Linked DNA regions of Nothobranchius furzeri. Each later gene encodes a partner of the first gene's protein in a complex. Links are inferred from orthologs where the notes say so. Each region holds a gene or a part of one and is shown in the gene's direction. Other genes may lie near its edges. The genes, in order: sptssa, sptlc1, sptlc3 and serine palmitoyltransferase 2.

The links.
Region 2: sptssa (region 1) and sptlc1 share a complex: the UniProt entries of both Homo sapiens proteins name them as parts of the serine palmitoyltransferase (SPT) complex. The link is inferred for Nothobranchius furzeri from reciprocal best matches to the Homo sapiens genes SPTSSA and SPTLC1.
Region 3: sptssa (region 1) and sptlc3 share a complex: the UniProt entries of both Homo sapiens proteins name them as parts of the serine palmitoyltransferase (SPT) complex. The link is inferred for Nothobranchius furzeri from reciprocal best matches to the Homo sapiens genes SPTSSA and SPTLC3.
Region 4: the proteins of sptssa (region 1) and serine palmitoyltransferase 2 are in contact, whole or in part, in a cryo-EM structure (PDB 7K0K), measured with the Homo sapiens proteins. The link is inferred for Nothobranchius furzeri from reciprocal best matches to the Homo sapiens genes SPTSSA and SPTLC2. Residues at the interface, in NP_612145.2 of Homo sapiens: Trp15, Tyr18, Gln19, Leu21, Leu22, Val23, Thr24, Ala25, Tyr27, Met28, Leu29, Glu30, Pro31, Trp32, Glu33, Val36, Phe37; in NP_004854.1 of Homo sapiens: Leu73, Gly77, Val80, Leu81, Phe84, Leu87, Arg88, Leu91, Leu126, Arg129, Ile130, Tyr156, Met475, Pro476, Ala477, Lys478, Gly480, Ala481, Arg484, Glu485, Asp533, Leu534, Leu535, Gln536.

The regions. Positions count from the first base shown.
Region 1 is NC_091758.1:7,745,555-7,751,322, reverse strand, and holds the start of sptssa (serine palmitoyltransferase small subunit A), read left to right. Parts: upstream 1-2,281; 5' UTR 2,282-2,509; coding exon 2,510-2,612; intron 2,613-5,768. Other genes in the region: eapp (E2F-associated phosphoprotein), read left to right, coding at 303-579. UniProt on the Homo sapiens protein: Component of the serine palmitoyltransferase multisubunit enzyme (SPT) that catalyzes the initial and rate-limiting step in sphingolipid biosynthesis by condensing L-serine and activated acyl-CoA (most commonly palmitoyl-CoA) to form long-chain bases.
Region 2 is NC_091746.1:34,121,755-34,127,391, reverse strand, and holds the end of sptlc1 (serine palmitoyltransferase 1), read left to right. Parts: intron 1-1,220; coding exon 1,221-1,338; intron 1,339-1,674; coding exon 1,675-1,748; intron 1,749-3,531; coding exon 3,532-3,622; 3' UTR 3,623-4,092; downstream 4,093-5,637. UniProt on the Homo sapiens protein: Component of the serine palmitoyltransferase multisubunit enzyme (SPT) that catalyzes the initial and rate-limiting step in sphingolipid biosynthesis by condensing L-serine and activated acyl-CoA (most commonly palmitoyl-CoA) to form long-chain bases.
Region 3 is NC_091752.1:1,177,001-1,182,474, reverse strand, and holds the start of sptlc3 (serine palmitoyltransferase 3), read left to right. Parts: upstream 1-2,074; 5' UTR 2,075-2,655; coding exon 2,656-2,748; intron 2,749-5,474. UniProt on the Homo sapiens protein: Component of the serine palmitoyltransferase multisubunit enzyme (SPT) that catalyzes the initial and rate-limiting step in sphingolipid biosynthesis by condensing L-serine and activated acyl-CoA (most commonly palmitoyl-CoA) to form long-chain bases.
Region 4 is NC_091758.1:39,063,632-39,068,655, reverse strand, and holds part of serine palmitoyltransferase 2, read left to right. Parts: intron 1-3,446; coding exon 3,447-3,573; intron 3,574-5,024. UniProt on the Homo sapiens protein: Component of the serine palmitoyltransferase multisubunit enzyme (SPT) that catalyzes the initial and rate-limiting step in sphingolipid biosynthesis by condensing L-serine and activated acyl-CoA (most commonly palmitoyl-CoA) to form long-chain bases.

The DNA.
Region 1 (5,768 bases):
CTGAAAACCGTGGTAATTTTGGTCACAATGACCATGAGGTTACATTTTCACACCGTGACAACCCTAGTTGGTTCTACGGTGGCCAACTTGAATCGGGTTGATTTCATACATTAATCAGTTGTAAATCCACTGACGACCATTGAGTTTCGTTAAAATGTGCCCAGTGTTTAGATATTTGGTTGATAGAACACACACTCATCGTTTTTTCATGTACTAGAAAAACTTGATGGTCTGTTCACTGAAAACTCGTTTGTGACATCCACACCTTGTGTGGTCTGAAGCTTCTTGTTGCGTTCACTCAGGCATGAGAAGTACCGGACGCAGTATCGAGCCATGTTTGTGATGAACTGCACGGTGAAACGAGACGAGGTGCTGCGCTACAAAACCAAGCAGCTGAGGAAGCAAAGAAAGCGGAAAAGAGGACAGAAAGTCGAACCCCCTGCAGATGCACCAACCAGCTCCACGGACCCTGATGAGGTTTACCACCCAGTCACATGTTCTGAGTGCTCCACAGAAGTGGCTGTGATTGATAAAGATGACGTCTACCATTTTTTTAACATCCTTGCCAGCCACTGTTGAGGTCGACTGAGGGTGCTGTATTGTAGACTTTTTTATTTGTGCCATCAGTTTCCCTCTCAACGCTGAAGTTTGTGCTGCTCAGAGGAAGCTAGTGGTGAGGGATGCTGCACTACCACTCATCAGAGGGTTCTCTTCTCACCTTGCATCATGTATTATTTTAGTTTTCCTGGTTGAGGTGGACACTCCTGCTGTGGCCAAGAGGACTAAATCTTTTGATCTGAATGATCTCAAACAAGTCATTTAAACCATCCCATGTCATTCCTAATTTAAAATAAAAATACTTGGATAGACAAAGGAGGGGAAAACCACAGGTTTTGTTCTGGTTTTCTTTTATCCTTAACACCACGTCATTACCACGGATGCTGCTAGTCTCTTGAATTGGAAGGGTGGTGAGTCTCTGACTCAAGTGGAGAAGTTTGAGTGTGTTGATCTCATTCCTGAGTGATGGTAGGATGGAGGAGAGATGGACCAGTTGGTGAGGGCTGGGTCTTCAGCGATGAAGGTGTAGCTCTGGTCAGTCACAACGAAGGAGTTGAACCAAAGACCTGGGACGTGGTTCATGACCAAAGATGGAGTCGCATGTAAATAAATGATAAATGACCCGCACTTGTATAGCGCCTCTCAGAGTAAGGACTCCAGAGCGCTTTACACTACAGTGTATCATTCATCCATTCACACACACATTCACACACTGATGGTGGTGAGCTACGATGTAGCCACAGCTGCCCTGGGGCACACTGACAGGCGAGGCAGCCAAGCACTGGCCCCACCGGTCCCTCCGACCACCACCAGCAGGCAAGGTGGGTTAAGTGTCTTGCCCAAGGACACAACAGCAGAATTCTCTGTCTGGAGCTGGGATCGAACCTGCAACCTTCTGATTACTGGACAACCCGCTCCACCTGTTGAGCTACTGCTAGAGCATAGAGGCTGTTTTCCATAGCAGGTGTGACTTTTGCATCTTGTGGTGGATCTGTTGGGTAAACTGGGAGCTCAACAGGAGCGGTGTCAGACCAGATGTTTTTCTGGATGTGTTGCTGAAAAGTCCAGTTGTTGTTTGTTTTGTTAAGGTTCTTGTATGAAGGCTCAGTAAAGTCTGCACCCTGACCTACTGGGTATTGGGCAAATCATGCAATGTGAACATATATTCAGCCAGCCGGTTTTTTTTTTCTGTTACTGACTGCACCTTTAAATGTGGATGCACCAGGTAGAGAAGTCAGCTAGTCTGAATATTACAATGCTAATATCCACTTCTGTTTCTCATGTGCAACAAAACCCCTAAGCTCACAGACCACAGGTGCACCTGTTCAGAACGCTAACTAGCCAATGGCTGCTTCTAGATAGGGTGAAGATGTTACCAGACAATCTGGTCCCACAGCCATCTCTGGGGTTTACAGAGAATGATTCAAATTGATCAACAATCCAGTGAGCATCTGTTGTATGGATGGCATTTATTTTTTATGCCAAGAGAAGTCTGGGAAGTCTGATTTGAGATATGATATAAAAGTCAGAAATAACCACAAGAGACAGGAAAACCATTAGCTGATCTGATGATCTCAATTTCAGCTGCAACATGCAGTCAGAATCGGACGCATGGCATCTGCATCTTGCCCAGGGACACTCATGTTTATGTTGATGTATTAAGGGGACACTTTTGTCCAAAGCGACTTACAAGTGCTAATGAAGCCACCAGGTAGTCCCTGAGGCTAACAACAAACACTAATCAGTCCTAGGTGGTAATGAGGCAGCTAAATGAGCGACAACGTACTGTGTAAACGCACCTTGTAGCACTGTCTCTTATTTTGAAAACCGGAAGTTGTGGCTCCCGTGTTGCGTCAGAGGCGCGTATCGGAAGACGGAGTTGTGATTGACTGATTTTACCGACGTCACACTACCAGGAAACAGTAGCAGAAAGGTAAGGGAAGTTGGGACCATGGCCCTCGGAGACTGTTGGAAGCAGTTGTCCTGGTTTTATTACCAGTATCTTCTGGTGACTGCGCTCTACATGCTGGAGCCCTGGGAGAGGACCGTGTTTAGTATCCTTTTGTGTGTCGGACACCCAACCGGGAAGTGCGTAGAAGCTAACGCACTAGCAGAAGCTAACATAGCGTCGAATTCCAATGCTACAACACTTTGTTTTGAGTAAACTGAAGTGTCTTTGTGAACGGAATACGACATTTATCAAATGTGAAGGGTTTCGTGATAAACCATGTATCTGAACGATTAAAGTTTATCTGGATTTTACGGTTAAAACCAAGAGAGGTCGAGATTTTAATAGCTTCAAATAACCGATCAGGTTAACCTATGAACCCATTTCCGGACAAGGCTGAAGTTCGCTTCTGATTCGGGAAATGGCTAAAGGGCCATTACACCCAATTTTTTTCTACTCTGACCATCTTTAATCTGCTCTTGCTTAAAAACTACAACACCCACACTGTTCAGACCTGTTCTAGATTATTCTACAATAATAGCAGATCGCATACAGCCTTGTTTGGGATTTGTGAAACCTTTCCCTGATTTGTGAAACTTCAGCAAAACCAGATTTATGCATTTTTCAGCACCTGCCTGACACTGGAACCGCTCTAGCTCAAGAAGTAAAGCACCTACACTATTCAAACCTGTTCTGTTCTAGATTATTCTACTATAGTAGCAGATCAAACAAAACACAGTGTGGGATTTGTGAAACCTTTCCCTGATTTATGAAACTTCAACAAAGTCAGATTTATGCATTGTTTAATGTGGTTTGATTGGCTTCCTGTGCAACTGCCTGATTATAAACTTAGCTTAAAGTTAAAGCAATTTGTGTTTGATTAGTGCTTTCTTTCTTGTAGTAATGCTTCCCCACAATAAATTATAGTGCTGGAAAGGCTGTTTAGTCACTATGAGGTATTGGACTCTTCAGACACCCAGAAGCTTATCACTTACACCAGTTTCTTGTAAAGCTAACTTGGTGGCTGCTGATGGGAGACATGTAATGGTGCGTTTTCTCCTCTTACAACAACTTGGATTAGAAAAATGTTTCCTGTAAACATTTATTTAATCACCATTCAGTCACACACGCTTTAACTGAATCCAGTGATTGTCTGCAGCAGCCTCCAATTCCTGCTGGAATATCTGAATATCTCTGCAGAATAGGGCTGTCGCGATCGAGGAATTCCCCCTGCGGTGAGTCAGGGCAGCTCAATATTGCGATATTATTGCACCCCGTTTTTATTTATGTACTTAGCAAATTTGTTTGTTAATTACTAAACTCATGGCAATATTTCCTTTGAAACATTGTGCTTACACATTTAAAAAAATGTTAGAAAAAAATACATGGCCATTTTTAACACTTTATTGAATGCAGATCAAAGGGCAGTAACGGCATTCTCTGACTGAACTTAAAAACAATATTCAGGAGGTTTAACTTTGAAATGCAAATTTGGCTGCAACATCTAACCGAAATTAAAAAAAGTGCCCTACTATGTCCTCGATCAGCGCGGACTTTACCTCTCAGCATGCGCTGTCGCGAGATTTAATCAAGTGCGGTAATTGCGGTGGCACGTCATGCAGCGCGGTGGGTTTCTTAATATCGCGATATATTGTTCTTGCGATTATTGCGACAGCCCTACTGCAGAAATAACCACGTAAAGTAGCATGAACAGTGGGTTCACATCAACTACTCGATGATTGTTTTTAAGACTGCATCAGACCTCTTTGTGGCTCATAAATCCAGTCAGAATTAAATAGCTTTTTAATGACAACACAACAAATAAAACCTTTTTTATTTCAATCTGACTCAGATCACTTTCATAATTCAGGAGTCGAGAAGCAGGAAGACCTACTAAATGTAAACGAACAACACACATTATCGTTATTTTCTTGGATCTGAATGTACGACATCGTCTGAGCTAGGGTTGGGCGATGGGACGAATGAATGCTGTTACAGGAGGCGATTTGTTTGCCCATTAGTTTGTTATTGACAGATATTTTACATGTTACACACAGAGAACATCGCAGCGGTAACAATCAAGAAAAGGTCTCCATCCATGCATCAGAGCGTTTTCTCACCTCCTTCGCCTCGCTGCTGACAGTGGGCGTGCAAGCGGCTCGCTGAGGAGGAGCTCGGAGAGCGTCTGTCTGTGACGCACTCGACGTTGTGCACAGCAGCTCTGTGTCGAGTGGAAAGTGGAAACCCTTCCGACTTTCAGATAGTCTAGAAGACCTGGTTATTTCATTTGGAGAAATGTTTCCTGATTTAAAACTTTGGCTTAAGTAGCGCTCATCGTTATTCAGCACCTGCTTTGAGTGCATCAGCGGAGCGCAGATTCATCCAGAACAACATTTAAACAGAGTCTGTCTGAGGCAAAAGTCCACAACCTCAAAACCTCTACAGCAAGCTCCTTAGGGGCATCTGATCAGACCAGGTCAGGTTCACGTGGAGCAGAAGGAATGTACGTTCGGGCCACAGCAGGTCAAATGCATTGTTTATGTTACTGGGTCACTCTGTTCAGCTTGTTTGGACTAAATATTAATTAAAATAATTGGAAATTTAAGAAACGATTATTCATTATTTTAAAAATGAACGTGATAAATACATAAATGGATCGTGCAGCCTTTGGCAACGAGCAAATGCTGCCTCCTCAGAGTGCGTCCAAACGCAGCGGCGATTCATTTCATTTTCTACTCGTATAAGAAAGCAACCCAGTAGCCTGTGTTCAGAAATAAACATGTTATAGCACAGCGGTGGGCACCACAGGGAAACAAAGACACGGCTTCTTTTTAACATTTTAACCGTGTGTAAAGTGACTGGGGCAGTAGGTACCTAAATCACTGCAAGTAAGACCTTACTAACGGATGGCCATTAAGGTCAAAAATCTCTGGGAGTGCATCCTCCAGCAAAATGACAAGAACATCTGGATCCCTTTAATCAATCGCAATGACTGTCAAAGGAGGTGGAAACCACAGGTCACCTCCAATGACAGAATGCAGAGGTAAATGTGTAAACGAGCATTTATTAATGTTGAAAGTTTTGTAGTTATTTGTTACAAATCAGCAAATGCTTTTTGTCCTCACGGGCTCCTGTAGAAGGAAACATGGCATCCATCATGGCGTCGCCCGCTCCCATGTATTTTAGAACAGATTTTATGGTTATCTGTTATGAAACTGCCAATATTTTTCAACAGCCGGGCATCTTTTAATTCATTTACAAC
Region 2 (5,637 bases), on another chromosome or scaffold:
CGGGTTTAGACCTGTGACATGTTGACCTGTAACAGGTTTAGACCTGTGACGTGTTGTCCTGTAACAGGTTTAGACTTGTGACATGTTGACCTGTAACAGGTTTAGACCTGTGACATGTTGACCTGTAACAGGTTTAGACCTGTGACGTGTTCGCCTGTCACGGGTTTAGACCTGTGACATGTTGACCTGTAACAGGTTTAGACCTGTGACGTGTTGTCCTGTAACAGGTTTAGACCTGTGACGTGTTCGCCTGTCACGGGTTTAGACCTGTGATGTGTTGACCTGTCACAGGTTTAGACCTGTGACGTGTTGACCTGTCACGGGTTTAGACCTGTGACGTGTTGACCTGTAACAGGTTTAGACTTGTGACGTGTTGAACTAACGGGTTTAGACTTGTGACGTGTTGACCTGGAACAGGTTTAGACCTGTGACGCGTTGACCTGGAACAGGTTTAGACCTGTGACGTGTTGACCTGGAACAGGTTTAGACTTGTGACGTGTTGACCTGGAACAGGTTTAGACCTGTGACGCGTTGACCTGGAACAGGTTTAGACCTGTGACGCGTTGACCTGTAACAGGTTTAGACTTGTGACGTGTTGACCTGGAACAGGTTTAGACTTGTGACGTGTTGTCCTGTAACAGGTTTAGACCTGTGACGTGTTGACCTGGAACAGGTTTAGACCTGTGACGCGTTGACCTGTAACAGGTTTAGACCTGTGACGTGTTGACCTGGAACAGGTTTAGACCTGTGACGCGTTGACCTGTAACAGGTTTAGACTTGTGACGTGTTGACCTGGAACAGGTTTAGACCTGTGACATGTTCGCCTGTCACGGGTTTAGACCTGTGACGTGTTGACCTGTCACAGGTTCAGACCTGTGACGTGTTGACCTGTCACGGGTTTAGACCTGTGACGTGTTGACCTGTAACAGGTTTAGACTTGTGACGTGTTGACCTGTAACAGGTTTAGACTTGTGACGTGTTGACCTGGAACAGGTTTAGACCTGTGACGCGTTGACCTGGAACAGGTTTAGACCTGTGACGTGTTGACCTGGAACAGGTTTAGACTTGTGACGTGTTGACCTGGAACAGGTTTAGACCTGTGACGCCTTGACCTGGAACAGGTTTAGACCTGTGACGCGTTGACCTGTAACAGGTTTAGACTTGTGACGTGTTGACCTGGAACAGGTTTAGACTTGTGACGTGTTGACTGTGTTCAACAGAATCCCCAGTCTGAAGGTAGTGGGAGTGTCGTTTGCTCCAGCTCTTCATCTACAGTTGGAGAGAGGTTCTGGCTCCAGAGTCACTGACCTGCAACGGCTCCGCTCTGTTGTTGACTATGTAAGTCCGGTCTGTTTCAGATGGATCTGTATGCCTGAGTCACATGCTGCTGCTGATGCGACTAGTAACAAATATAATATTCATGAATGGATTCATGTTTATAATGACTCCACCATGACATTAGACCTGTACTGTTCTAAATCTGAAGGCTGTTGGACACAGAACTACAGTTCTAGATTCTGTTTTTACATGAGTAAACAGATCCAGTATCTGGTAGGCGGTTAAGTGACTTATTGTATTTTTTTAAACAACATTTTTTACCATTTACCTCACTCACTACTGGGGCAGACTGAGACCGGACTCTCTTCTCATCAGGTTTTATGTTTTCTCTTTCAGTGTTTAGACAGAAATGTTGCTTTGACAGTCGCCAGGTATCTAGAAAAAGAGGAGCGCTTCCTCCCCCCTCCCAGGTAAGAGGCTGTCCCTATCAGGTGTTTTATTTCATCAGTATTATGCTGTTTTAGTTCGTGGATGTCTAACTTGGCATTGCTCAGTAGTGCTCTTCCCTCATGTCTCTAAAAAACATTGGTGAGGCATGCAGGTCACTGATGAGACTCTGAACTAGAAGTAACTCGAGTCACATTTAAGTTGCAAAAACTAAGACTACAGGCTTGAGTGAGACTTGAGGTTCGGGACACAGACGGGTAAATCAGGGGAGCAGCTGTGTGACACAGGCCTTATGATTAAACCAGGATCAACATATCTGTTAGCTGGTTTGTTTCTTTATGCGTCCACATCTAAACGTCTCAGAGTAAAAAGTGTTGGCAGGTGTGTTTATGAGAATGGATCTATTCAGAGATCTCTAATGACTGCTAGAGATACTAGCTGAAACATGTCAGGTGAAAAACTATATTTTACTAAAACTGTTTAAGAAAAGAACAAAAAACGGATAGCATTTGACAACTCACTGCTGGGTTCTATTCGGATTGCAAAACTGTTGCTGCTGTGTGTTTTTTATTAGTTGACCTCATTTGTGTGCATCTTTTGCTTCAGTCTGGTTTTATAAAAGTGTTTATTTTTAACAGGAGACCTATCTAAGCATTTTTCCATTATTGTGAAATGTTTTCTTTAACAAATGTTCAATGATCAATAAGTTAAATAACAGTCCAAATGCAGTTTTGTTTTTAAAATAGACTAGATGGCAGAGACCTAAATACTCAGTTTAATCATGGGAGACTTTAGGCGTGACTCAGACTGTCCCTTACACCCTCACCCAGTGTTATAGGGAAAGGAACAGTAATGGATGTAGACTTCCTGTTTAAAAGTAAAATTAGCCTTTTTTATTTTTTATTTCATTCAAAATAAAACATATAAACAATAAGAAATACATAACAAAAAATCAAATTTGAACGAAAAGGAGCAGAATGAAGAAAAAAATCTTATAATTTCTGCCTCCTTTTCCAGAAGAAATAATCAATTTATATACAATTTCCAGTTGTCAGACACACATACGGATTCATTTTAAACTTTTTCCTGTTCTAAATTCCAGTGCGATCATGATCATTGATTTAATTTACATTTTCATAATCAGTTAGTACACTCAGTTTGGTACATATTTGAAAATAAGTGACAGAGTTTTTTAAATTTCCCTTTTAAGGTTATTCCATAATTTAACACCATTTACAGACATATTCCACCCTTAATTTTAGTTCTAAATCTAGGTTTTGGAAACACATCAGTTTCTTTCAGCGTGTAATTACTAGTTCTCTTTTCAAATATCCCCTGAATGTTTGTTGGCAGAGTACCTAAATTGGCTTTATACATGGTTTGTAAGATTTTTCCGTCTTTTAAATCATGAAATTTCAGTAATTTATATTTAATAAACAATGGGTTCGATAGATCTCTACAGCCACTATAATTGATGATTCTCAGAGCTCTTTTCTGTAAAATAAATAAGGGTTGTGTGTAGTTTTTGAATGTTGCTCCCCAGATTTCTACACAATAAGTCAGGTATGGAACAATCAGTGAATTGTACCCATTACTTTAATTATTAATAGTCTTGACACTTTCATTCACAATATGTTGCATACTAAGTAATTTTCATTAGATTTAAGTTGAAAATGTCATTCACCAGCAATGTGATGATGTCTAAATGATTAGAAACCCTGAGAAAGAGGAGGTCAAAAGGTGAAGCAGTGACCTGGATGGTGTCAGGGTGAATCTAAAATACATTCCCCCTCCTGTTTGTCTCAGTATCCGAGTGGTGGTGACCATCAAACAGACGGATGAAGACATCCAGAAGGCTGTGTCTTGTATCAGAGAGGCAGCATCCATCTTCCTTTAATGATGTGTGATGTTTGCCCCCGATGAAGAGGAGCAGCTGTTTACAGTGAAGGTTAATGTGAGGAAACACAGATGTTCTCCTCCACCACTAAAGATGTTTTTATATCAGCACTCCAGAATAGTTTTATATTTTACTTATTTAAATGTAAAACTAATGAACTCGTCCTGTTTGTGTTTGTTTTCTTTCTTGTCGAGGAACAATAGAGACAGAATGTTTCAGAGGGCCCTCCTCAGACCAAAGCGAGTTCTGACCAAAGATCTGTCTTTGTGCTTGTTAAATGTCTGCAGAGTGCACGGGCTGTGTACTCTGGCATTTTGTTGTTGTTTTTGTTTTTTGTTGTGTCATTGAGATTTAGCACAAACCACAAATCTAACTCTGAACCCACTCATTCTGATTTTCTGTTGATTCCAATGATCTTCTGTTGGAGGTCAGTACATTTCTGACTTTCAATAAAAGTTTCTGATTCTGAATAGTTTGTCTTTTGAGTTTTCATTTCAGTAAGAACAATAAAAATAAATTAAATTAGTGTTTGAACAAAGTGCTGTGGAAATTGTAAAATGGAAAGACTCTAAAAAAACAAAACAAATTCTCCAAATCGTTGTCTATTTTTTTTTTTTAGAATTTTATAGTTTTACAATTAATAGATTTGATCATTTATCATTTCCTGTCAGCGTAATAGTTCAATGTGTTTGTGTAGAAACGATGACAATTATTATTTGATTGGACGTTTGCTGCAGTCCAGCCAGACTTAACCTGTTTTATTGTCCTCATATTTGATGCAGTAGATTTCAGTTTAAACAGGTGTTCCTTGTTTTCAGTAAGTTATTTAACTTCTGCCTCAACCTTCCATCTAAATATTTTTTACATTAATTTGTTCTTCTGGTATGAACTCATTAAATAAAGTTCATATAAATACATGAAATCATCTAATAATAGAGAACTTTGGCCCAAATTCACAGTCTTTTCCAGGAGCCTATTAGTGTTTTTACAACCAAACCTCTTGGAAAGAGAGCTGTACTGCTGCAATCCAAGCAGTGTGCCTTTGTTCACCAGGAAGAATTTAAATTAAATAAAAACTCAGCTGTGAGCTGATTCAAGTTGTTACTGCTTGCAACATTTTTAGCCTCCGGGCTTTTGTTCAAATTAAATGACAAAAAGTAAATTTTATTGTCCTAATTTTTACACCTTTTTAGAAAAGACTGGGTAAATAACTGGTGCATCATTTTTAGTCTATTCCTAAAATGACTTAAAACTCAACAGCAGTCAAATTAAAATGTAAGAATTGTGGGGCTCAGCTCAGCCCCCAGTGCCCCTGGAATGACTTCCGATCAAAGTTTAGATTTTAGCTCCAGTTACTTTGAAACAAACATGTCGAGGAATTGAGCCATTAATCTCTCAAAACAAAAGGAAACTAGCCCTGGACGTTTATTTCACACTTGTTTCATCCCGTTCCATATTTGCGAGACACCGGAAATCAGCTAGGATCTAAAGTGAAAATAACCCCTGTTTTTTGTCCTACAGGCAACTCGATCAATGAGAAAGCTACAGCCAGTGGTGTTACTGAGCATTGATAGAATCGGTATGAAACGTAGACCAATAAAATTATTAAATAAATACATATTTACACATAAAATAACGGAGCATACATGATTATGCACTGTTTTCCATTTTCCCCTGTGATTGATCCTTTAAGACAAGACGGAGGGTTAAATATTCCCCTTGGACAGACCCGTTTCCATTATGGTGTGGTTTTTATGCTGTCAGAAGCTGAACTAATTATTCTGCCCATAACATGTTAACGTGGAGAAATGCCCGCCACATTTGTTGATTTACATCATGTAATTTAGATGTTGATCGACCCACTTTACTGCGGCGCTTAGCTAACAGAGGCTAACTGGGGGATCGGACCAGGTTAGCTTAAAGCTAACTCCGCTGCTATGTGTCCAGACTGAACCAGGAAGGGCTGAAAGAGACCTGCTGTCATTAACAGGTCGGTGAGGTTCTCTTTATCTATT
Region 3 (5,474 bases), on another chromosome or scaffold:
CTCTTTGTGGATCTCCCCCACATTTTTGAATGGGTTTGTCGTCACAATTCTCTGCAGGGTGCGGTTATCCCTAGAGCTTGTACACTTTTTTCTACCACATTTTTTCCGTCCCTTCGCCTGTCTGTTAATGTGCTTGGACACAGAGCTCTGCGAACAGCCAGCTTCTTTAGCAATCACCTTTTGTGTCTTGCCCTCCTTGTGCAAGGTGTCAATGATTGTCTTTTGGACAGCTGTTAAGTCAGAAGTCTTCCCCATGATTGTGGTGCCTTCAAAACAAGACTGAGGGACCTTTTAAAGGCCTTTGCAGGTGTTTTGAGTAAATCAGCTGATTAGAGTGGCAGCAGGTGTCTTCTATATTCAGCCTTTTCAGAATATTCTAATTTTTTGAGATACCAGATTTGGAGTTTTCATTAGTTGTCACTTATGAATATCAAATTTAAATGTAATGAACATTGGAAATACATTGGTCTGTGTGCATTGCATGAATATAATGTACAAGTTTCACGTTTTGAATGGAATTACTGAAATATTTTCAACCTTTTGATGATATTCTAATTTACTGGCCAGCACCTGTATATGCTTAGCATGTTTACTGAATGAGGTCATCACCATTTGCACTCATACAAGACAGAGTTAGGTTAAGCTAACGCATAACACATAGTTAACCTTTTGCCCAGATTCATAGTCTCCATATCAAAGAGGGTGTGTTCTGAGATTCTTGGGAACATCTCTCAAACTTGTCAGCCCCTGATTGGCTGGCCAGATCAGAATATCGATTCCTTAAAACAAGATGGCTTGGAGTAATTTGTCAGTTGTAGAGCGAGCTTCAGACCGGCCATCTTTAGCACCTCTTTAACCAGAAGGATTTTGACATGTTGTCAAAACCTTAAACCTTTTTCGCACCTGTGAAGCTGAGAACGACAAGATAGTTTCCTGCAGTACAAAGTTGACGCAAACTCCTTCAGAGTTATTTTTAAGACGCTCGGTTTCATCTATCGTTGTGACCCGGAGACATCCCAGGACTGATTTGGTCGCATGGAGGTTTATCTATGAACCAAGCGCAGTGGGGTCGTCGGCTCCTTGACATTTCGGATCCAAACGGGGGTCTCCAGAACGGGTGAGGTAGAACACAGCGAGATAGCGTCTGTATGTGGTTTTGAAAATAACTTCATAGCTTATTTGCAAACCAAATTCTTTTACGTCCAGAACTCAGCTCTCTGAGAAACGGAGATTCTGACTCCATTACATTATATTCACACATAAGTTCCAGACACCATCCTTAGTTCGCATCCACTCACAGTAAATAATAGTTCAAACATTTTGTCAAGTCTTAATTGTTTGTAAAATAGATTCTTAAGTTTTTATAAACCTGCCTGCTTCTTGAATCAAAACGAAGAATGTACGATCCCTTAATGAATAAAATAATCCTAGAATCTTCTGACTAAACGGATAAAGAACAGGAAAGGTGATATTCTATATTTAAACAGAGTATTACAGCTTATTGGTCTCAAGTAGTGTTAATAATATAAATAGTTCTTAAAGCAATTTACTTAACCAAATATACTATTTATCTAACATTACAAATGTTACAGAAAATATTTGTTGAAATTTGTTTCATTCACACCAGAAGATGAAGGAAAATAATTGTTAAAAAATCATGGTTGAAGATTTCGTAATTATTGCATCAGAGGGTTAAATACATGTTTAATGTAAAATTAAATGTGGGGAGAATGTGAATTAAATAAAAGCAACACAGGCGTTCATGACGCTTTGATGTCAGAGCAGATGGTGTCATATTACTACCCATTAGCTTATCAATCTTGCTGGATGAAAAGTTGATTTTTTCCAGAGCCTTTTCTAGATGATGAGCATTTTAATGTTGACACTGAAATTTGACGTAAACAGAAGCCCTAGCTCACCTAGCAAACACATGTATGTGGGACCCACATGGTACTTGAGCTATTGTTCCAAGAGAACATGGGCTTAAAATGGGCATCTAATTTGGGACCCACTTGGGTTAACCAAGTTTAGCCCAAATAGGCTATGTTTTAAGGGTACGTGGGTTGTGAATGGGCAACACAAATGGAACCCATCTTAGTTGATCTAACAACTTAAGTATTACAAATAACTAATAAACATGAATTAATGTGAAATAACTGGAAATGTGCCAGCAGAACCTATTTCATATTTGAAATATTTGAAATAGTGAGAATATTAAATTATACTTGTTAATATACTACATTTCATACAGCCTAAATGATATTAAATATTTATAGTTGTATAGTAATTAATAAATAGGTGCAGTGTTATAACACTCTGTTCAGAGTAAAATACTGAAGATTTTGTTTTGCTGATCTGTTGCGTTCACGTGACGCAGGAAAGATGGGAAACATCTAAACTGGATGAGACATGTCAAGTTAGAGGGTTGAGTTTCATTCTAGAACGAGCAGAAGTTGAACTGGCTCTGCATCGAAACAGAAATCGATTAAGAATGAGGAAAGACCTTCGTACAGAAGCCTGCAGCCGCGTGAGGGGAGGCTGAACCGACACAACAGAAAGAGGAAGTCAACTTTGGGAGTTCGGTTAGGCTCACCGTGTCGTTTGCTTCCTTGAGTCGCAAAGAGACAGTCGCACCTGTGAGCTGTGACGGTGAGCATGGCCAGAACCGCCGAGGGGAACCTAAAACCGCAACCGAACGGACTGAAAACCGAGGAGTTGGTGGGAAATGGCTTTCATAACCCCAGAGAGGTACGCGTGTTGCTCTCTCTCATTTGTCTCTCTCCTAATCCCTAATTCTTGCCTTATGTGATACTTTATCAAGGTGCGGCAGGTAGCCTACTCCTCACCTGGGAAGTGAGTGCGGGGTTTTCTTTGCGGTTTCTCACCTGAATTGACCTTGATGACATAACATATTAAACTTTGTCTTTCCCGGATACACTTAGCATATCCTCCTGCAGAGACCAAACAGGGTGGCTGGTTTCGGTCAGTGGTTACTAACAGTGTTTAATGTCGGGTTCATGAAAAGCTCCACACACACATTCTGTGACCCCACCTTGAAATGCTGCCTCTTCTCTCCCAAAGGACAAATTCTCTGCCTCCAGGCAGCAGCTGAGCTTTAGTTTCTGCTTCCTTCAGTCCACCCTCTTGTTCTGCTTAATAGATGACTTATTCTCAGTCTACAAAGCAATTATATGTTCCTATAAATAATATTAGTATAAAACAATTGCACCCTGATCTCAACAACATCAGAGGGCTGAATAATAGGCCTGTTGTGTACTCTGATGGGACATATCCTCAATAGTTCACTCCCATCTTCACTCTTCTAGTCATAAGTTGAACATGATCTGTGTAGGAAAATGATTTCAGGAGATTCACAGTTTAAATTATTGTTATTATTTATCTTATTACCGTTATTAATACATATATGTAATGCCCTTGTCGCTTACGTTTTGTCAAACATTTGCTAATTTATCGCAGCTCTGCAGTTGTTGCAGCTCACACAAATCACTCTCTTGTTTTCTGAGCTGGTTACCCCCCAGTAGAGTCACATGGAGCTGGCGCCTAACTCCAGCAGTCATCGGGCGAGAGCAGGGACACCCTGGACAAGTCTCCAGTCCACCACAATGTCTGAAGCTGAATCAGTATTTGAACTCTGAATTTATCTGTTAAAGTCAGCGTTTAAGTCAGACATCTAAATAAAGTTAATATAGAGTATTTATCATGCAGATGTTATTAGTGAATGTAAAAGTACATTTAAATTAAATTCTGCAAAAGCACCGGGCTGCCCAAGGAAGTGCCTGACTTTAAATTGGCTTTACTAAGGACACATATTGGCCGGAGCCCCTAGTCGGGTCATACCAACGACTTACAAAATGGGAACCAATGCCTCTCCGCTTGGCAGTCAGCTTTAGGGGTTGTATTTGGGGATTAAACCACAAAATAGTTCCTGAGTGCAGCCACTGCTGCAGCTCACCGCTCCAAATGGGGATGGGTCGAATACGGAGATGTAATTTCACCAGTGTGTGATGACTAATGGGACTTTAACTTTATCCAGCTTGCTTTATTTGTTGCTCTGCTCCAACACCCATGATTCAGTGTTTGAATCACCTGTTCAGCAGCTCTTCAAGCTCTGCAAAAGCTTGTTAATCACCTGCTTATTGAAACAAAGTGTGTTGAAGCAGGGAAAGAACCAAAACAAGCTGGATACCAACCCACCAGGACCAGGATTGGGCACCCCTTGTTTAGACCAAAGATGTGTAAACCTGCTCCTCGAATGTTGCTATCCATCATGTTTTAGTTGTTTCCCTGCTCCAACACGCCCAGTTCCAGTGGCTGGATCACCAAGCTCTGCAGAAGTCTGTTAAGAACCTACTTATTAAAATCAGGTGGGTCGGAACGGTGCTCATGGACCAGGACTGGGCACTCCTATGTCAGAAACAACAATTAAGCTAAACAAGCGGGACAAAAATTCAATATATTAATCAATAGACATGTTGTGCAATAGGAAACAAATGGATCAATAAAAACTTTGATAAAAAGTTTCCATTTTCCATTATAGCCTATCTGGTAGCTTCATACTGGAGTCATTACTTCCACCCAACCAATCAAAAACACAGACCCAAGCACGCTCTGTCACCAAGCCCCCCCCCCCCCCCCCCCCCCCAAACCTAGACAGCAATGGGAATTAAACAAGATGTTGCAGCAAGGAGAGATGGAAGAAATTGCCCGCAAAAAATGTTGGAGTGCCTCACCAGTGTGGTATTATTTCATTCTTATGAGTGTGACAAAAAACAACATTTGCAGAGAATCGATAAAAAACAAGTCTGGTAACGCAGCCTCACCTCACCTCCCCTCACCTTCCTCCTGCTCATCCGGGTCGCAGGGGCAACATCCCAAGTAGGGCCTCCCAGGCAATCCTCTCCCCGGTCACATCCGCCAGCTCCTCAGCTGGGACACCCAGGCGTTCCCAGGCCAACCGAGAGATGTATTTCCTCCAGGTAGTCCTGGGTCGACCAGGAGGCCTCCTGCCGGCAGGACATGCCCAAAACACCTCTCGAGGGAGGTGTCCAGGAAGCATCCTGACCAGATGCCCGAACCACCCCAACTGGCTCCTTTCGATGATGAGGAGTAGCAGCTCCACTCCGAGTCCCTCCCGGATGTCTGAGTTCCTTACCCTATCCCTAAAGCCGAACCCGGCCACCCTGTGAAGGAAACTCATTTTGGCCACTTGAATCTGCGATCTCGTTCTTTCAGTCATCACCCAAAGCTCATGACCATAGGTGAGGATTGGGACGTAGATCGACCGGTAAATTGAGAGCCTGGCTTTCTGGCTCAGGTCTCTCTTCAGCACGACAGATCTGTTCAGCGTCCGCATCACTGCAGACGCTGAACCAGTCTGCCTGTCGATCTCCCGCTCCCTCCTTCCCTCACTCGTGAGAAGGACCCCGAGTTACTTAAACTCCTCCACTTGGGGC
Region 4 (5,024 bases), about 31 Mb from region 1:
GATAACCTCACTGCTTTTAACAATGTGTTCCACAATAACTCGCTGAACCTCAGGTGTGTTTAGAAGATTTGGTGGAATGCAAGGGTTTTGTTTTCCAGTCTCTGTAGGTGGACAATTGTCCTTTGAGTTGTTCATATAGTTAACTTCTGGTGTTAAAGGCAGGGAATATGTAACTTGGTCACTATGGAGCATTGGCTCTGGTTCAGTGACTGGTTCAGATGCATGGGTATCCCTTCCTAAAGATTCCCCAATTTTTGCCAGTTCCTCCATTAGAAGGTCTTTAAATGATTGATTGCTACGCGCAGCTATGTCCCTGAGCTCTGACAGATAGGCATCAGTGGCAGATGTGCTAGTTTCTAGACTGTACGCGCTGGCTAGGTCTTGAATATGAAAGAAAACATCTGGGTTCCTAGTACAAGGTTTGTCATAGGGTAAACATTGTTTCTTTAATTCCTTAACAGTGGCTTCATGTTGAAACTCCACAATAATCTGATCACAGTTTGGTAACTTAATGCGCCTGTTAACTGGTCCGAATCCTTCCATAAACCCAAAGACTTCGTTATCAAGGTCTGTATCAGTTAACCCACTGATTAAAACAGCATTTGAAACTTTGACCTTTTCTGTTTTCACAACTTCCATTTTAAAACACTCAAAAGTACCAATAATGCCAAAATGGCAAACCACTGTGACCTCCAGGCACTCTTATGATGTCAGTCAATGGTTAGCTAAGGTAACAACTCTACAATTCTCCTGGCTGGCTCGCCAAGTTTTATGTAACCGGATTACAGGATACAATAAGATAATTAAAAGAAAAAATAAACAAATGGGCCAATAATTAGGTTCGGGGAGAATTGGAGGTTGTTTAAGAATGACTGGAGTCACGGGTATAGCATGAAACGGTTTATATACTAAATTTTAATAATAATGGGAAATATAACACATAAAGATAACACACAAAAACAGATGAAAACAATCGACAATAGTAAAATGGTCGGTATGAGATTTGATCATATGAGTCACAAGTCAGCCGGCGTCAAGTCAAATCCCCACGCTTGGGGTGAAAGTCAGAGTCCGGTGGTGCGATTTTTTCCTACCACACCGTTGAGATTGTTCACAGAAGAGAGCAGTCTGCTCTTCAGTTACTTGAGATGTCCTGGTTCGTTCAGTGGTTAAGGCTCGCCATCTCCCTCGTCAGGAAGAAATCCAGTTCTCGTTCCAAGTGAGTGATCATAGGAGTCGGGATCAAACCCAAGGAAAAAAAAAACCCCAGCCAACGCGCTCCAACGGTTCCCTCCTACAGAGGATTGGTTCACTCTGTCGTCTCCACACAAATCGCGTTGGTTCCAAGTTCCTAGCTCTTATTAGAAGGAGTCAAGTCCGCCTCTCCCTCTATCTATGCGGCACCCAAATCAGGGTTCTTCACGGCCTCGACCGTTGTTTTTTTTCTCTCTCTCTCTCTCTCTAACCGCTCAGTCTTTGCTTTCTGTATCTGCGTGCTGCACAGCCGTTTGTCTCTCCTCTCGCTCAGCTGCGTCGCACGGTTTTATTTCGCGGAGGCGGGACTTATTTCTCTCAGCCAATGAAATTTCAGATTCCCACCTGGACCAATAGTATACAGCTTTCCTCTTCTGTTTCTGTTAGTGATGTTCAAGATTCTTGTTTTAACCGATGTTTAATATTAAACTCGTTATTTTAGTTATTCACCCTTCCAATAATTCATTATGAAATTATCTATTAGTTAATTAGATATCTATTAATTAGTATTGTTAATTTCCTTAATTTATATTTTATATTTTATCTAAATTGAGGATGGATCATATTAGTAAGCCAATTAGTTAATACCTCATTAAGGTTCTAGCTTCTGGGTTACACAGCCAAACTGAAGAAGCCTCTGACTGAAGACACTCTTCCGTTGTCGGACATGTTGTGAAGAGAATGCTCAGGGTTGTCCATCATTTTCTTGATTCTCTGGAGAATCATTCTTTGCATTATCTCCTCCAGCAGTTCCACAGTCGTCCCCAGAACAGAAGCAGCCTTTTTTATTAGGCTGTTGAGCCTTTTCAGGTCCCTGCTTCTGATGCTGCTACCCCAACAGACGATGGCTGAAGAGATTACACTCTCAACAACAGACTTGTAGAAGATCTGCAGCATCTTGCTACAGACATTGAAGGACCTAAGCGTCCTCAAGAAGTGCAGTCTGCTGTGTCCCTTCTTGTAAACGGCTTCGCTGTTCTTTCTCCAGTCCAGTCTGTTGTTCAGGTGAACTCCACGGTGTTTGTATTCCTCAACCACCTCCACTTCTTCTCCCATGATGGAAACAGTGTTTGACTCCACCCTGTTTCTTCTGAAGTCTAAAATCATCTCCTTTGTTTTGACGTTCAAGGTCAGATGATTGTTTCCACACCATGCCACAAAGCGCTCCACCAGCTCTCTGTACTCCCCTTCCTGTCCATCTCTGATACACCCGACAACTGCAGAGTCATCTGAGTATTTCTGTAGATGACAGGTCTCTGACTTGTACTGGAAGTCTGAGGTGTACAGGGTGAAAAGGAATGGTGAGAGTACAGTACCCTGTGGTGCTCCAATGTTACTGATCGCCTGGTTTGATGTGCAGTTCTTCAGCCTCACAAACTGTGGTCTGTTTGTCAGGTAGTCTTTAATCCAGGTGATAGTTGAGGCCCCCACCTGTGTCTTCTGGAGTTTCTGGCAAAGAACATCAGGCTGAATTGTGTTAAATGCACTGGAGAAATCGCAGAACATGACCCTCACAGTGCTGCCTGCTTTGTCCAGATGGCAGTGGGTTGGTTGAAGCAGCTGGATGATGGCATCTGATGCAGAAAACATTTTTATAAGCAGTGTATCGATTTTTTTTCTATTGAGAAATTACATGTAAACCTTTATTTTATTTCATTTGTGTGGTGCAATTAAAGCTCAGACAGCTAGGTGGCAGCATTTTATTAACAGAACACAATAATCATGTGTCTTGGAGGCGTCTAGCCGGAGTTTCCTATTTAAATTTAGTCTTAAACATTACATCAGGCTCTTGGTATCATGATATAGCAATGCACCTCCCTACTAGTTAGGAGTTTCAACTGGAGTTAAAAAGTTTGAAAAGGTTAAAGGAACGGTGTCGAGGTTTTTTTAACCTACCAACAACTCAGTCAACTCTTTATTTTAAATGTTTGTAGATCTGAGATACTAAATGATTTTAACAGGGTCAGGGTTTTCCATGTTTTACTGCTGGAAGAACACATCCTTTCAAAATAAGAGTTCAGCGTGTTCTCTGCTGCTTCAGGATGTCCATGTTGGTTTTATTTATTCTCGATTTATCTTCTTTAATGAACCGTTTAAACGTATTATTGGTGTTGGTGTTATTGCTCAGCAACTCACTAAAGCCATCAAGAAAGCTCATCTTTAAGGAGGATTTTCTGTCTTGTCTGGTTCAGGAGCTGATCGACTTCCTGCGCTCCAACTCTCACAGCGCCGTCTACGCCACCTCCATGTCTCCTCCTGTGGTGGAGCAAATCATCACTTCTATGAAGTGCATTATGGGAGAAGATGGAACAACGATAGGTACGGTCTGACATGCCTCATTAACATTGGTTTATGGTTTATGTCACAGGGAGTTCAGCAGAATCCGATTTTACATCAGTTATGTGTTTTAGTCTGATCTGAATAAACCTTTATTCTGAAAACAGTTGCAGAATTATGTCATTACTAATGATAACAGACTCAGAATCTGTTGTAAGTCTCATCCTTCACCACCAGGGGGCAGCATCACCCTCTACAACAAACCTCACTCATCTGTGGTGAAAAGAAGAAAACACTGTCATTAATGTAATTTTTATTTTACATTTAAATTAAGACTTTCATGCAGATTTTATGTTTTCTGCATTTATTTTAATCCCTGATTTAATCTAATCTGTGTATTGAACCTGAAACGGTTTTATCATGTGAGTCTTGGCTGCTGGTTGTTTTGGTTTACTTGTTTCTAAAAGTCTGAGTATAAAATGAACTTTTTCCAGAGGGAAGCTCGGCTCGCTCTGCATTCATTAAAGCCCCGTGTGGAGGTGCGGCTAAATTTACGAGCCCGCTGACGGTTTGTTTGATGTGAACGCTCGGCCTCCTGTGGGAGCCGGAAATTACATTTCAGAGAAAAGGCGTGATCACCCAAAGGTGTCTGGATGCTGTAACTCTGACATCTTCTCACACTTAGAAACACGTTCAGCTGCTTGTCAGACGTCTGCTTTCATCTCCTGAAAGAACCAACAACGTTCTACTGAATAATTCTCCTTTTTAGCCTCTCGGAGAGCTCACCTGTAGAGGAGAACCGACTCGCAGCACCCATAAATCACAGGTCCATCACTGATGAGTCGTTTTTCTGTGAACATTTGTTTATTCAGCGTATCGAAGTCACATAATCCCATATTGTTGTGTTTGATAAAGCAAAAGCGTATTCAGCCCAACCTAATTCTTTTTTTCTGTATTTCGCTTCATCTCAGCTTTCCTTTAGGCAAAATATAAAAATATCACTATAAAGATGTTTGTTTCTGAAGAAGAGACAATATTCCCAAACACACACACTTCCTTTTCTATCTGCGACAGGGGCGCTTCTAGGCCAAATTTTCCAGGGGGCCACAGTGGGGCCAGTATTTTTTCATGGGGGCGCAAGAAAAAAAGGGAAAAATTAGGGCAATATCAAAATTCTTTTTTGTCGTCGCCATATGACTAATTTTGTGCTTGTGCACAATTTTGCCAAAGGAAATTCGTTTATGTTGGGAAAATAAACTGTATTGCTTGCCTTCGTCTCTTAGCGTCTTTTCCGTTAGTCGTCCTCAAGAATTTCTTTGGGTCCCATTTAAACTATTTTTAATCTTAAATTCAAAATTCCACCGGTTAAACAGTTCTGTCCACAGAGTGTGCTGCGCTCTAAAGGCTCCGTTTGAAACGCTGCAGCGCATTAGTTCCCGTCTCCGAGGCAGCGCGGGGGGAAAAAATCTGATCTCTTCAGCACAAGGGCCATA